2 linked regions of the Tribolium castaneum genome follow. The protein of the gene in region 1 interacts with the protein of each later gene in a biochemical or structural test. Links are inferred from orthologs where the notes say so. Each region holds a gene or a part of one and is shown in the gene's direction. Other genes may lie near its edges.

What was found. The genes of interacting proteins can lie anywhere in the genome.
Region 2: the proteins of golgin subfamily A member 2 (region 1) and p115 form a complex in vitro, tested with the Homo sapiens proteins (2 studies listed by BioGRID). The link is inferred for Tribolium castaneum from reciprocal best matches to the Homo sapiens genes GOLGA2 and USO1.

Annotation. Positions count from the first base shown.
Region 1 is NC_087398.1:3,526,771-3,534,898, reverse strand, and holds golgin subfamily A member 2, read left to right. Parts: upstream 1-3,399; 5' UTR 3,400-3,454; coding exon 3,455-3,517; intron 3,518-3,641; coding exon 3,642-5,321; intron 5,322-5,371; coding exon 5,372-6,310; 3' UTR 6,311-6,373; downstream 6,374-8,128. Other genes in the region: pleckstrin homology domain-containing family G member 5, read left to right, coding at 1-79; PIG-A (phosphatidylinositol N-acetylglucosaminyltransferase subunit A), read left to right, coding at 803-819, 871-1,207, 1,255-1,489, 1,544-1,673, 1,727-1,894, 1,947-2,216, 2,268-2,418; zinc finger protein ZFP2, read right to left, coding at 6,652-7,272, 7,483-7,650, 7,700-7,895, 7,960-8,128. UniProt on the Homo sapiens protein: Peripheral membrane component of the cis-Golgi stack that acts as a membrane skeleton that maintains the structure of the Golgi apparatus, and as a vesicle thether that facilitates vesicle fusion to the Golgi membrane.
Region 2 is NC_087399.1:6,663,206-6,671,092, reverse strand, and holds the start of p115 (general vesicular transport factor p115), read left to right. Parts: upstream 1-2,731; 5' UTR 2,732-2,814; coding exon 2,815-2,892; intron 2,893-2,949; coding exon 2,950-3,293; intron 3,294-6,106; coding exon 6,107-7,745; intron 7,746-7,852; coding exon 7,853-7,887. Other genes in the region: radial spoke head 1 homolog, read right to left, coding at 1,578-2,068, 2,121-2,481. UniProt on the Homo sapiens protein: General vesicular transport factor required for intercisternal transport in the Golgi stack; it is required for transcytotic fusion and/or subsequent binding of the vesicles to the target membrane.

The DNA of each region.
Region 1 (8,128 bases):
AGATGCAAGCATCCACAAACGTTTGTCCTGGAACTGCAGTAGTCAGGAGCAAAGGCCCCCCAACGAGGACCACACCTAGCATACATTTATAAACTCCCTTGTGTCTTGTATAGTGATCCTTTTCTTCTTCTACTTTATAGTCTGTACAGTGCTAGATTTACTAAAATGTCTAGTTGATTGAAAGAGAATCGAAAACTCGGCTTGGGTTTATACGGATTGTACAAAAACCACTGTGGACCAAAATGAACCCACAATATCACGAAAACAATAAATTTATTAGATGTCAAGAAGGTTTGGCACGTTTACATTCCTATTACATTCCAAGATAAACCTAAGCAATACTGTACCTAATCAAAAGTTCTATCTGGCCTAATATTTAAAGATTTTGATAATACTTTAAGTAGGGATTTAGAAATTTAGACCGCTTTAACTGAATCGAAGTGTCGGGTAGGTTCTCGAAAAACAACTTTTGGAAATTTTTGGGTTTTTCCAGGAATTACCGACGCTGCGGTTATGCGTGGACGACCGCTTTATAAAAGAGAAAATCGTTTGTTTTAAACGAAATAGTACAATGAATTTTATATTTTGGTATAAAATTTTATATTTATTTTTTGCTTAAGAAGTCTATATTTATTTTAGTTACGCTATTAAAGAAATAAGAAGTTAAACGAATGTATCTTTGTTATATTTATTGAGAACATCTAATAAACAGCATTACTACACCCCGTGTTCGAATTCCCCGCTCCTTACATCACCAACCAAAAAATCAAAATGTCCTAAAAATGTCAAGATAACCTCAAATATGGGTTACAAAATTTGGTAATTTTATCAATTTCATCAATTAAATGCGTTATCAAACATACATTTTAGTATGGTTTCTGATTTTTTCTTCCCCAACATGGGCGGGGTCGAGGAACACATTTATAACCTCTCCCAGTGTTTGCTCCTTGAGGGGCACAAAGTTGTGGTTATGACACACAGTTACGGCGATTGTGTCGGAATTCGTTACAAAACCAACGGTCTGAAGGTCTATTACCTTCCAATTAGGGTGTTTTATAACCAGTCGATTCTGCCGACAATGATATGCAATGTGCCCCTAATTCGCAACATTTTGATAAGGGAACAAATTGAGATAATTCACGGCCATTCGGCATTTTCAGCCCTTGCACACGAGGCGCTGGTAATCGGAAATTTAATGGGATTAAGGGTATACAACCCTCTCAATACGATTCAAAATTATTTATTTATTTGCAGACTGTCTTTACGGACCACAGTTTGTTTGGTTTTGCTGACGCTAGTGCGGTTATAACAAATAAATTGTTACAAATGTCGTTAACAGATTGCAATCACTGGATTTGTGTTTCACACACTGGGAAAGAAAATACGGTGCTGCGGGCAAAAGTCAGCAGTAAAAGGGTTTCTGTGATTCCAAACGCAGTTGATACATGTGCATTTATGCCGGATCCCAGCCAAAGATCGAGCGAATTTAGTATAAAAAAATCTTCTAATTATAAAATTAAACATTTACGAAGGTTTTTTTTAGTCACAATAGTCGTGGTTTCAAGACTAGTTTACCGCAAAGGCGTGGATTTGACGGCCCAAATTATTTCAGAAATGTGCAGTAAACACGATAAAATCAACTTTTTAATCGCAGGCGACGGACCCAAGCGCGGGTAAACACAAAAACCCTATTTTTTAGCCTCAAATATCATAATCAATTTCATAGATTGCTTGAGGAAATACGGGAAAGGCAAGGGTTGCACGATAGGGTCACCCTTTTGGGTAGCCTGGAGCATTCCCTTGTTCGCAATGTACTAAACCAAGGGCATATTTTCCTCAACACTTCCCTGACTGAAGCGTATTGTATGGCTATAGTAGAAGCGGTTTCATGCGGGTTTGCTTCCCAAAGTCACAATAAACTTTGGTAACTTGGCTAATTTTTATAGATTACAAGTCGTTTCGACCCGAGTTGGGGGAATCCCAGAAGTGTTGCCTGAAGATTTGATTTACTTGACTGAACCAAACGTCCCTTCTCTTATTAAAACCCTCGAAACCGCAATTGATGATTTGAAAAATAACAAAGTTAATTGTCCGTACTTGTGTAATTTGAGGATAAAAAATTATTACAACTGGGAGAACGTTTCAAAACGGACGGAAATCGTGTATCAGAAAGTTATGCAAGAAAGGAATAAAACATTACAGGAGCAATTATGGAGGTGAGGTTGAACTCATTAATACTCAATTTAACTTTTCTGTTTTTATTTTAGTTACAAAACAAGTGGTGTTTGGCCATTTTTACTGGCGGTCTCTTTGTGTTATCTAATGTTGCAGTTTTTGGAGTACATATACCCAAGGGAATACATCGATATCGCCAAGGATTATAATTATAAGAAAAAAAGTAAAGAGAAGATTTATTAGTTGTGTCCTGTAAATAAAATTTTTTATTACCAAACTGTCTTTCTCTCATACTTATAATTAAAACATAAGTTCAAGTCTCAGAGTCAACTGTCTTCAGTTAGTTGATGAAACTATCAGGTGAAGAAATTCTTAACATCATTGTAGATAAATAGAAAAAACAAAAATATTAAACATGCACACTTACCTCAGAGTTTTGTAGTACAGTTTGATTTTTCCTCATCGTCAATGAACTGCAAAAAAATTAAACACATTATATCAACTCAAACCAATGGTTTTTGTTGAGAAATTGCTTCCCAACTCAGTCTTACTTTTTTGGTGGTAGTAAAGGTTATCTGCACAGTAACTCAGATAGCAAATACTTGATCATCATTTAAAATTTAGTTTATAAAACAAAATAAAATATTACAACCTACCGTCTAGGCCTAAGCTGGAATCATAGTAGTTGACAACTCTTTTGTTCAGGCCTCACTTTAGGAACAATCTAGAGCAAAATGTAAATTAGATGAAGTTGTAACAATTAAAAAACAAAAAACCAAATAATATCAGTACACCTTTGCAAGTATAATAAAAACAACTGCCACTCACCTGAATGCACTAAGTGTCATGATTTTTTCCACTTCATTTTCACGAAATCTGCAAATAGATCACAGAAATCAACACAAATACATATCGTAGTTGAAAAATGAATGAATTTAATGGAAAAGTCAGTATTAAAAAGCTCGTTTTTGAATCAACAGAGACATTCAGGTTATAAAAAAAATCATCATAATGATGCTACTACCGCAAAAATACTAGAATCAACATAACAAATCCATAACTCACCTTCATTTTCTTAATTTCTAGTTGTGTAAAATCAGTAGATTGCATTTCTTTTGCAAGATTTTTGCGGATAAACATTGTAAACGAACGAACCAGACAAAAACTCACCGGAAAATAGCACCATTGCCAACGTAACGCGACTTTTATACCTCTTGCACCAACCCTCATCATGAAATCCCCTATTTCGATGACATTTAAACTGTGACGTGTTTGACACATGTCAACAAAAAATATGGCAGATGTGTCAAAAGCCCAAAAATTGGCATCTGCTAGAAAAAAGGTAATTACCAAAAAATGCCATTTACGCTTGTTTAGCTTCTAACACGTCTAGGTAATGAGAAAATGCACACGCTTTTTTTAAAACCCCCTAGTCCAATTAGGCCACATCATTGTTTTGCTTCTAGTTCAAGGAATTAAAAAAGGAAAAAAAGAAGAACACTGCCCAGAAAGCACCCGAACTTGTCGAGTCACCACCCACAAGTCGCGAGCAGACACCTGTGGAAGGTCTCACAAATGAACCAGCGCAACTTCCAAATTACTTCAGTAATGTAAACTTCAACAACGGCTATCAGCAGCCAACGGCATTTTTCGATAATTTTTCACAAAATAACGACCCTTTCGCGTGCATCACGCCCTCAAATAATCTCAATGGTGACCAAAACCACGCGTTTTCAGTACCTGAAGACAATAAAAATGACGAAATTTCCAACTTCCAAGCCTTTGACAGCGTCAAATTTGACCAGAAACCTTCCCCACGCCCCCAGTTGTCCACAGTTGAGAGTCTGCGCCAGTTGCAGGACCAAATGGCCGAATTAATAAGCCCCCCTGAAAATGAGCCACTGGGGGGCGAGTCACCGCTAGAAATTCGGAATCAAGAGTTGGCGGAACTGCTCAATCAGGAAAAGGTGAAAAATGAAGAACTGAACGCTAGTTTGAGAGAATATCAAACGAAGCTCAGCCAATTAGAGGCCGAGCTTAAAGACAAACAATTGAACACCGATACTAGAGTAGAGCACGAAGTTAGCACTCTTCGAGAAGAGTTACAATGTCATGTCCAAACTGTGGGAATTCTCGTGGCGGAAAAGGCCGAATTAGTTGCAAATCTCAGCCAATTCCAGTTGGCGGCGAAACAGAAAACAGCCGAATGCGAGGAGTTACAAGGTCGCTTGAAAACTTCCAGATCACGTGTCGCAGACCTTGAACGTGAAGTTGCGCTCCTTAAGAACGAAAAGTCGCAATACGACAACATGGGACGCGAACAAAACTCCGAGTTGGAAAAGTTGAAACAGAGCTACCAGTCTGTGAAAGATGAAAAAGAGGAACTGCTCCAGGATTTGCTTGAAGCTCGAGAAAAACTCAAAAGTAGCTCTGAAAGTTGCGTCGAGTTCCAACAGCAGATCAAGGAGTTGTCCAATCAACTGTCCATGGCCAATATTAAAATCCAGCAACTCACAACTGGGGATCAAGACAGCAGTGAGATCGAGAAACTGACTCAGGAGAAGTTCGCTCTTGAGAAACAAGTCGCCGATTTGAGCCAAACAGTTAAAACTTTATCGAAAGAGAGGGAGGAGTCTAGTCTACAGTACCAGCAATATGCCCAACAGTTGAACGCGCAATTGTCGAGTCTGGCGACTCGATTAGAGACGTCTCAGAAGGAGAACGAATCTCTGGCGATACGCGAACAGGACAGGATTAAACACATCGGCGAGTTGGAGAAACAACTGCAAAATTTGCAGAACGATCAAGTGTCCTTTGCCGTGCAAAAACCCACCACTGAAACAAAAGCCGAACTCGAAGCCGCCCTAGAATTAGTCGAGAGACTCAAAACCGAAAACGTGGAGTTGCAAGAGGAGAATGTTAAAGCAGCAAACGAAAAGGAGTTGCTTTTGAAGGAGTTGGAAGCCAAAGGAGAGAGTATAAGTGAGCTGGAGCGGATCGTAGAGGAGTTGAGGACCAATCAGCCCGACAGTGGAAAATTATTAGCAATTATGGAAAGTGACAAAGTCGCAGCGGCCAGAGCCGTGTCTCAAAACACCGAATTGAAGAATCAGATGGACAGTATGCAGGAAGTTTTCATGAAGTTGGTAAGTAACGCTCGGTTTTAAAGGAGTTGTCTTTATTATTATTGTTACAGAATAATGACAAAATCGAATTGACCGAAAAACTGACAATCGAGCAGCGCAACAATAAGGAATTGTTCGAAAAATTGCAAAAAACAGAGCTGCATTTGCAAACTTTGGCCGACGCGATTGAAATCAAAGATAAGGAGTTGTCGCATCTTCGGGAGAACTCGTCCGAGCTCGACAAACAGTTGCTGCAGAGTGAACAGTTGAACGATAGGTTGAGGCATTACGAGGCACAGGATCATAGTTCACAAGCGTTACAAAACGAGCTGTTTCAAGCCAATCAAACTATCGAAAAACTGAACGAAGAGATAAAACAATTGAAAGTGTGTAGTAGTGACGTAAAAGAGTTACGAGAGAATGAGACAAAAGATGCCACTGATAGCAACCACAATGGAATTGTTTTGGACAAAGAGGCGGCCATGAAACATTTGGAAGAGAAATTTTTGAAGACGATGGAAGACATTGCCAATTTAACAGAGGAGAAGCAACGTCTCGAACACCTGGTGTTGCAATTGCAAGGTGAGACCGAGACGATAGGAGAGTATGTGGCGCTCTATCAACAACAGAGGAGTCTATTAAAACAAAAAGCGATTGAAAAAGACCAGCAATTGTCACAGTTAGCCAATGACCGCGAATTGATGAAAGCCAAGCTAGACAAATTGAACGAATTGGTGAAAAAGCTGGTCCTTGAAAAAGGAGCCGTTCCGTCCGAATTGCTGGAACATCACCACGACAATCATCTATGCGAAGAACACGCGAAAATCAGTAACGAAATCAATAAAATCGCGCAGAATACGTTCACAGTCGAACCGAGTGATACTCAAAGTACCGAAACAGCAGAAGAAATAATCGCACTCCTGTCGGAGATTAAAACCAGTAACTTGGTACAACCGGCTGAGAATATACATCATTGTCCGTGGTGTTCGGGCCAACTTATTACGGTGTAAATGGGATATTGTGATTATATTGTTATTTTAAATAGCTTGATTAAAGTTTATTACATAACTGCACTCGTGTGTGTTGACTGGGAATAGTTAAGAAATGAGAAACGCGCTCTGATTTTTCATATCAGAATATATTAAGTTTATTCATAGATTCTTAATAGTAAACACGAACTGACAAATATACATTGATCAGACTATGAAAACTGAATCCGAACTGGCGCTGTAGTTCGAAACTACTCGTACTTCAAACTGGCACATCAGTCACGCGTGTCGCCCTCTTATTTTTCAGACACTTCTTACTCAAACACACAATAACTAAGTTATCACTTAAATTACTCTCCTATTCAACCGAAATTCTGATAATTGCTATAATCCGCGGCCGTGAAAGTCGTCGAACTCGCCACGGGCGCCACTATCGAGTACGTCACGGCGCCCCCTTGCCCAAACCCTTGAACCTTCTCCCCCTCACTCTTCACCTGCGACACCACAAACCCGCCCTCTTTGAACTTCACCTCCCCTGCACCCATCAAATTGATCAAACCCGAATTTTGCAATTCGACAATTTTCGGGTCAATCACCAGATTCTCCCCTGAGACGTTCAACGGCCCCATCAGGCCCATCGTATGGGCCAGAATTTTGCCCTTGGCTTCGTCCACCTCGTCGTCCTTTTTCTTGCCGTGGGTTTTGAACCGAATGGGGGTGGGCTCCATCACGGGGGTGACAGGCTCGACCCGGTGGCCCCCTTTCAGGTCCGGCTGGGTCTCCACCCAATGGCCGGTGGTACGTCGGTGGGTTTTCAACTGTCCGGATTGGATAAAACGCGCCGGACACATGCCACAGGCGTAGGGCCGCGCCCCCGTGTGCCGGCGCATGTGGAGCGCCAAGTCGTTGGACTGGGTGAAGGCCCGTCCGCAAATGTTGCACACGTAGGGGCGCTCGCCGGTGTGGACGCGCGTGTGGCGTAACTGGACAAAAAAAAACACGCTCATTCAACTCTTAATTGTTCAATTATTTTTCTTTAAAATTATATTCAGAAAAAAATTGTGATATTTTGAATCACCAAATGAAGAGAGTAATTATATAATTCCTTGTGTTTTCGGCACTTAATTTTTAAAATTGTTCATTTATTTATAATTTTTTATAATGTTTAGTCTGCGGTCCGCTTCAAGACTTACCAACTTATTGCTCTTATTGAATGATTTCCCACACAACGCGCAATGGTAGGGTTTTTCCCCTGAGTGTGTCCTTTCATGACACTTGAGATCATGCGATCTGGGAAAGCCCTTACCACACTGACTGCATTTATACGGTCTTTCCCCCGTATGTCGTCTCATATGAACAATCTAAAATAAACCAGTCAAAATAAGTGATTTTTTACGAAACAATCCTCACCATATTGCTCGAATTATTAAACTCCTTGCCGCAATAAATACAAAGATGCAATTTCGTAGTATCTTTGATACCCGTATGGATCCTCTGATGAGTCTTGAGATTATCGAGTCGATTAAACGCTTTACCACACTCGGAACAAACATGTCTCTTGTCTTGCAACAAATGTATTTTAATATGGCGCGCTAAATGATCCGACCTGTTTGAAAAAAAAAAAAAAAAAAATTAAAACACGGCTACCAATCGCCAAAACATGTAAATACCTGCTGAAAGTCTTTTCGCATATTGAGCACGTCAAATTATCCTCTTTCTCGTTCCCGGTTTGATGCACCTTCAAATGTCTTATCAAATGTTCCCCTCTACTGAACGGTTTATTACAAATCGTACACGCATACGGCTTATTAATATGGTCCTCCTCCACATGTTTGGCCA
Region 2 (7,887 bases), on another chromosome or scaffold:
ACCGTTTTGTCTTAGGACTTTTAGTTAAATGTTTTTTGGTGCAATTTTTTTTATTTTTTCAATTTTTGCCACAAATTTTATGCTTAGTTTCGGAGAAAGAGATAAAACATGTGTTAGAATTATCGCAATTACGCCGAAATTATTCGAGCTAGCGCAAAAAGTCCATGGTAAAGACGTCAAAATCTATCAGACAAGATGTAAATCTCGGTTTAAATCAAGTTTGAAACATGTTTAAAATCGGCTTTTTGTATGGTAAGGTATTTTTCTATTTTATTTTATTTTGTTTTGTTTTTTTATTGTTTTATTTTCTCAATTAACTCAAAACTCTTCGGCAAATATTCAGAGAAAGTAAATTGGTTTTAAGAAGTCTATTGGCATCTAGAAAACCGCCGCAATATTTCTCAGTAGTATTTAAATTACCATCAATTTTTTCTTAGGAATTTCCTACATAGGTATTACTTGTTGAATAATGTTTTTTTTTTCTACTTTTATATTTTATTTGGTCTTAGACGAAATCTGAATATCAGCAATTAGTAGATTGCCTGGACCGTTTCACAATAAAATTATATTTTTTTATTGTGAGCCATCTCATTGTAGAAAAAATAGTGTATGCAGCTCGAATTTAATAGCTAGATGCTAAGACACTAAGTATACCTACATATACTTATACTTACTGCGACACTCGCTTACGGCTCGTGCTATCATTAAATACTTATTGTATAAAATATGTACTATCAATTTGATAAATACTTAATTAAAACAGGTTTTCCGACGACACTAAATATTTAATTTAAACTAAAAGGTTTAAAGCTCGTACTATCGAAATTATGGGCTGAAAATCAACCAAAAACTAGAAGAAAAATGAGGAAACAATTAAACAGAACCAAATGTCGTTTTTTGCACTTTTAATAAGAGAGTTTAAAAAACAAGATTTATTTCTTGATTTTTCGAGGGTACGTTATACGGTGACTAAACAAAAATTAATTACGGGTAAGCAACAAGATTAATTAATAAATTAACTAAATCAATTAGTAAAAAAATAGTAACGGACTAAAACTGAGCTAAGTTTTTTTCTTAATCAGTTGCACTACAGCTCGAATGGCCCATTTTTTGCACGATTTCATCACTTTGTTAAATTTGTGGCCAATTAGTAAAAATCGCCCAATTTAAATATTCTACCGCAACTTATTATTATTGGCAGGTGAATTGTTGCTAATTTCGGCCATCTGTTACGTACATTATTTTCTAATAATAGCCCAGCTTGAAACTGTTGATTTTTTAAGGCAAACAGATGGAAAATTGTATTTAAATAAAAACTACTGGTGCAATAAATTAAACCTAAATAAACAGCTACTTTGTTGTATAAAATAAATAAATTACAAAATGATTAATTCCCGACGATTTAAATAAATAATTATAATTGGTTTGGGGCCAATATTTCAGACTTAGCCCGACTGGGAGTCAAACACAAGAACCTAATTATATTCAAATTTATCACAAAATCTTTATTTTTCAAATTCGAGTCGCCCACGACCCCAGGTGTCCCGATACCAATCACAAATAAATTTTAATTAATTTTAGCCTTCACCAAAATTTGAAGCATAAAAAATGCAACTTGGCGCGCACGTATTTTTCGATTCTTCATCGAAGTGTTGGCGCAACAAATCGTGGTTGATTTTCTTCGGCTTCTTCCAATCTTCGCGAATTTTTGCACTCGTGTAATATTTTTTGTACCACGCTTTTTCGTCATCGGTGAGGCTCGAAACTCCCAGAGTTGAAATTTTCTCAAAGACGGTTTGCTTCATTTCTTTGTTCTTCTGGTAGTCTCTGAACCAGTCAGAGTCTTCGAAATCAATAACGGACTTGGTTTTGGTGCTTTTGGCGAAGACTTGTCTCTCTAATTCTTTCAAGTCTGGTGTTTCCACTTCACTCGTTTCGCCTTCTTTTTCTTCTTCACTCGGAATTGTTGTTTCTTTGATTATAGGGCGCCCTTTGCCCCTTTCTCGGTCCAGTTCTTGCGAAAAAATGTGCTCACGGTACAGCAGCGTGTGCTCAGGGCCGGCCTTACCTTAATTACACTTAAATTTATTTCATTCGTAATCACAAAACTGAAAAATTACCATGCCAAAGGTGTCCCTTGTAATCAATAAAAATCACATTCCCCGAAGGCTTATTATTCAAAAATTCGCAACACAACCGGCCTCCCCTACGAAAAGTGTATGTCCCTGGACCGTTGTACTTGTACTTTTTGATTTTTCCCTCAAAAGTGTCGTTATTTTTGAACATAATGCGCACATTTTCGTTTTCATTTAATTTATCGTCCTTCCAGTTTCCTTCGTAAAATTGCAAATCGTGCGTTTCGTAAACACCATGGCCTTGCCTCCATGCTAAACCACTAACATGAGCGCAAAAGTGACCCGAATATTTGTCCCGATTTGGAAAAAGAAACTCGTGTTCACCCTCTTGAAACCCCTTATTCATATTCCCGCCAAAAAACGCGACATTTATGTGACACTTTGACTGAGGGCGCCATCTTCCACCCACTAACCCAAGCGGACAATAACAGGTCGCTGTATCATAAACCTGCCCAAACTTTTTCAGTTCAGAAGTAAAATTATAAAACGCCACTGAGCTACGTCCAAACATAGAAAATTAACCAAATACCTCTAATATCTTTGAAATTATGTCTTTGAAATTAACACACAAAAAGTGCCCCCTTTTGTGCGTTTCAAAAACTGCGCTATTGACGTTTCTTTGTATACATGTCACGTCAAAATGTCAAAAATTTCAAACAATTTGTGTTAATTTCGTGAAATGGAGTACTTCCGGAGCGGTTTGAAGTCGGTGCTGGGGGCCCCGGCCCCCGGCACCCAGCCCACGGGTGCCGAGACCGTAAGTGCCCCCGAAACCCCAAACAGCTGTCCTGACCGCCCCTAACCCCACTTTTAGGTGGAGCGGCTTGTGAGTCGGGTCAGTACTTCGACGTTACTGGAGGACCGTCGCGACGCATGTCGGGCCCTTAAGGCCCTGTCTCGGAAATATCGCCTCGAAGTGGGGGCCCAAGGCATGGATGTGTTGAGACAGGTCCTGGAGTTGGACCGCTCTGACTGCGAAATCATCGGCTATTGTCTCGATACGTTGTGTAATATCACCTCGAAGGAGGTTTTTGAGGAGGAGAGTGAGAGTAATTTAAACATTAAGGTCAATGTGGGGGAGCAGTTCACTGAAATGTTTATCAAAAATGCCGAAAATGTGACCCTGGTTTTGAGTTTTTTGGAGGAGTACGACTTTAGGTAATAATTGCTTTAACTAATGACTGATCACACCTTTGCACCTCTTTCCTTGTGGAGATTCTTACTCTGTGATTTTACGAAATTTTGAAAATTAAAATTAAGTGTGTTTATATTTGAAAAAAGTTCGATAGAAATCAGAAATAATGTGATGTTTGAGTTAAGTGAGTAGTTTTTCTCTCACAAAAACCAACATTTTAGTTCAACAACGTACTCAAACACCTAAAAATTGTTAAGAATAACACTATTTTTGGGCAAATTTGCAATTTTGACTAATATATGTATTTTCAAACGGTTTAAATAGAGTGATACAGGTCAAAATAACGGTAATTTGTTTTAAGCAGTTTTGACAAAAAACTAAAGTTTTTAAATAAAAAATGAACTTAGACGTACTATTTTTAGTGAAATCTCGTGAAATACTATTTTTATTTCTAACCAAAAAATAAGCTAAAACGGTCCAAAAAGCAAAAATGAGTTATCATTTAATTAAGTATTTTTCGAACTAGTTTAACAATATCTGACAAAAACCCTAAGATTTTTTATTCAAAAACAAGTTTAGAGATGAGAAAAAGTCAAAAATAACATTATTATTTTTAACCAAATTGATGTTTCGTTTATTTTTGACAAAATTTCAATAAATAACCAAAGCCAGTAGATATACAGTATATCTACTGGCTTTGTAAATAACAAGGTAAATCGAGTCAAATATCAATTTTGATTTGTTCTTCTAGTTTTTAGCAAAACAAAGCTAAGTCAAAATTAATTTCGATTTTTTAAACAGACATACTGTGTTTTTTGCAAAAAAATAAGTTTTTAGCTGATAAACATACTAAAAATACAGAAAATAATTTTGTTTCTGACTAAATCACAAGCTAAAGCGCTAATTAACAACAAAAATTTGATTGTATATTTTATTTGTAGTGTTTTTTGGCATATTTTAGCGATATCTCGCAAAAAACCTTTAGATTTTACTTTGAAAACGTGCTTAGAGGTTGGAAAATTATAAAAATGACACTACTTTTACGCAAATTGTTTATTTTTGTCGAAATTGTGTTCTAAAACGAACTACATAATCATGTATTTTTATGAGTTTTAGTTTTCAATTTTAGCCTAGTTTTTGGAAAAAAATAAGTTTTTACTTTAAAAATTTTTCAGTTTGTTTTATTGAAATTTTGTAAATTCATTTCGTTTCTGACTGGAAAACTAGTAAAACCGCTCGAGAAGAGCAAGAATAGTACAATTAATTGCATAACTTGGTAATTTTTAGACCTGTTTGAGCGAAATCGTTCAAAAATTTTGAAATTCTAGTTCGAAATCGTACTTAGGGGGTAAAAAAAGATAAAAATAACATTATTTTTGACCAAATTACCATCAATTTCGAATTATTTTTATAATTTTCTTGATCGATTTTATTGATTGAAACTTGCTTAAGACAAAAATAACATTATTTTTTGTTTAATTTAATGATTTTCAAGCTTATTTTTAACGAAAGTGCTAGCATTCCTAACTGTAAAACAAACTAAAATGCTTATAAATGCAATATAGTAGAGTACTTTTTTTGTAATTAGATAAATTTACGGTCGGTTTTAACTGAAATTTTACAAAATTATTGAAAATTTAATGTACTTAGGGGCTCAAAATAAGTAAAGACAACTCCAACTGCCATCAGGTTTTGTGATTCGTCGGCTTATTTTGGCGAAATTTCTCTCAGAAACTATCAATAAGTCGACTGAAGCAGATGAAATAAGATCGATTTCGATCTATTTTAGAATATTTCTTAATTTTTTGGTTTCGATTTATTAAAAAGTAAAAACTACACTGAATTTACTGAATTTACAGCTTTCACCAGAGAAATACGTGTTAAAGCACGCGAAAACGGTCTAAATTAAGATATTTTCACCCATTTAATAATGTTTGTGTTTGATCGGATGAAGTCGCTTATTATCGGTAAACTAACCTTTACCACAAGGAAGGAGGTATTCGGAAGTAAAATTACCGTTGGGGGCGCCACTGAGCTAGGTCGAAAACAGTAACCATAAATGGCGGGAAAATGTTTATTCGGATATTTTGAGCGTTGTACGAATTTTGGGGCTTCACAATTATTACATTGCCTATGCGGAATGATTATTTCATCTTTGATGCAAGAAACTTATGTTGACAAATGAGAGATGACGAGGAAAACACGAATAACGAATGACTGTTTGGTTCACTTTCTTTATTGGAAAATTATTACAAAGACATTGAAAAGCCTACCTTTTGGCATAATTTACGTTTAAATGTATCAGCAGTTGTTAATCTTTATTGTAGTTTTGTAGATTTACCGCAGCATTTCATGATTTTTTCAGTGGAAAATTCTAACCTAAAATTCATAACACTTCACTAATTTATTGGTTTCTTGAGCCAAACTTTGTGTTCGCTGTGATCCATTACTTATAATCTTTAATTAGACAACTGTTTGATAACACTTTGTAATCAAAATTTAAATATTTTTCACTTTTTATCCACTTTCAAGTTCCAACAATAAACACTTTATACCACGAAAAACTACAGAACCAAAGTCAACGCTAGTATTTACCACCACGTACTTTTAAAGTAATTCTTTCTATTGTAAGTAATTAACACTATATACGCAAAATTATTGAACAATTCATTAAATGTCAGTTAAATGTGGCATTACGAAAATTTCTTTACTGTTTTCGACATAGTTCAAAAGTCATCACCAGAGGGCGTCTAGTTAATTTTATTTCCGAATTGAGCTTTTAATTATCTTTCAAGTGTTTCGAGTGTGGCTAAAGTAGAGGTTCCCGCGATTTTAGGGTTAGATGGCCAGCTGTCAAGCTGCTCACTTCACTTCTGGCAAGTAAACCTAAAGAAATCCAAGATGTGATCCTCGTGAGCCCCATGGGGGTTTCAAAACTTATGGATTTGTTGGTCGAAAGTCGCGAAGTGATCCGGAACGACGCTTTGCTTCTTTTGATTAACTTGACAAAATCAAACGCCAACATCCAAAAAATTGTGGCTTTTGAAAACGCCTTCGACCGATTGTTTGATGTTATACGGGAAGAGGGTTTTACAGATGGGGGCATTGTGGTTGAGGATTGCATGCTACTGATGCTCAACCTCCTCAAAAATAACACAAGCAACATCAATTTTTTCAAAGAAGGATCATACATACAGAAGTTAGCCCCCATGTTTATCCTCCCGGACAACTTGGAGGAAGTTGGGTGGAGCCCCCAGAAAGTGTCTAACATGCATTGCGTCCTGCAATTGGTCAGGACTCTAGTCTCGCCCACAAACCCAGTCCAGATTGTCACTTCGTGCCAAAAGACAATGCGAAATGCCAATTTACTTGAAGCCCTTTGTAATATTTTAATGGCAAGTGGGGTCCCCGCCGATATTTTAACCGAGACTATTAACACAGTGGGCGAGGTAATAAGGGGCAATTTGACCAATCAGGAGTACTTTGCGGGTGTCATGGCGCCTTCAAACCCCCCACGACCCGCCATAGTAGTATTACTAATGTCCATGGTCAACGAAAAGCAACCCTTTACCCTACGTTGCGCTGTTTTGTATTGCTTCCAATGTTTCCTCTTCAAAAACGAGATTGGCCAGGAACAAGTGGTCCAAACCCTCCTCCCTAGCTCCACCAACTCGACTCTAACCACCGGGCAACTCCTCTGTGGGGGTCTGTTCAGCGCAGACTCCCTCAGTTGCTGGTTCAGTTCGGTGGCTCTAAGTCACACCCTGATCGAAAACCCCGCTCAGAGAGAACAACTCCTGAGAGTCCTCCTTGCCACAAACCTTGGCTCCCAACCCGTTAGCCTCCTGCACCAATGTGCCGTTTTCCTCCAACAAACCACCAAACTCCAGGCCAAAATCGGTATTCTGATGCTGTTAGCCATGTGGATGAGTCACTGTCCCCAAGCCGTTCAAGTCTTCCTGAACGTGCCTGGGGCTATGGCCTTCCTCACAGCGCAGACAAGCGCCAGCGAATTCGACAATAACGAGGAAATATTGCAAGGTCTATGCGCGTTTTTGATGGGTCTCTGCGTTGCCTTTAACGATAACTCTGTGCAAAACTACTCGAAAGAAAACTTGTCTCAACTAATTGAGAAGCGAGTGGGGACTGAGACGTATTGTACGAAACTGGGGGAGATTTCGAGACATGAAGTGTACGCCAAAGCGGCAAAACAACCCCAAATTCGGGCCAAACATTCCAGTGAGTTGCTACTAGAGTTTGAGTTTTGTAAGCTCTTCAAGGCGCTAGAGCCTGTCATTATTAAGGCTTTGGGGGTGCAAAGGGACTTGTCCAATGGGATGTCCGAACTGAGTTTGAGTGAACACGAAAATGCCTTACTGTTGCAATACAAAGAATTGATAAGGGACCAAGACAAGAAGTTGCAAGATGTGCATAAAAGCTTGAGTAACTTGCAACGGGAGAATCAGGATTTGAAGGTACGTATCATCAGTTAGTGTCCCGATCTTGTAGATTTTTTCTTCAAGATCAAATAGTTAACTTATTTTCCTCTTGACATGATTATTTAGGTGGATATTGTTTTCAGGGACAGATTGAGGAGTTGCGTCAGACCAACTCACA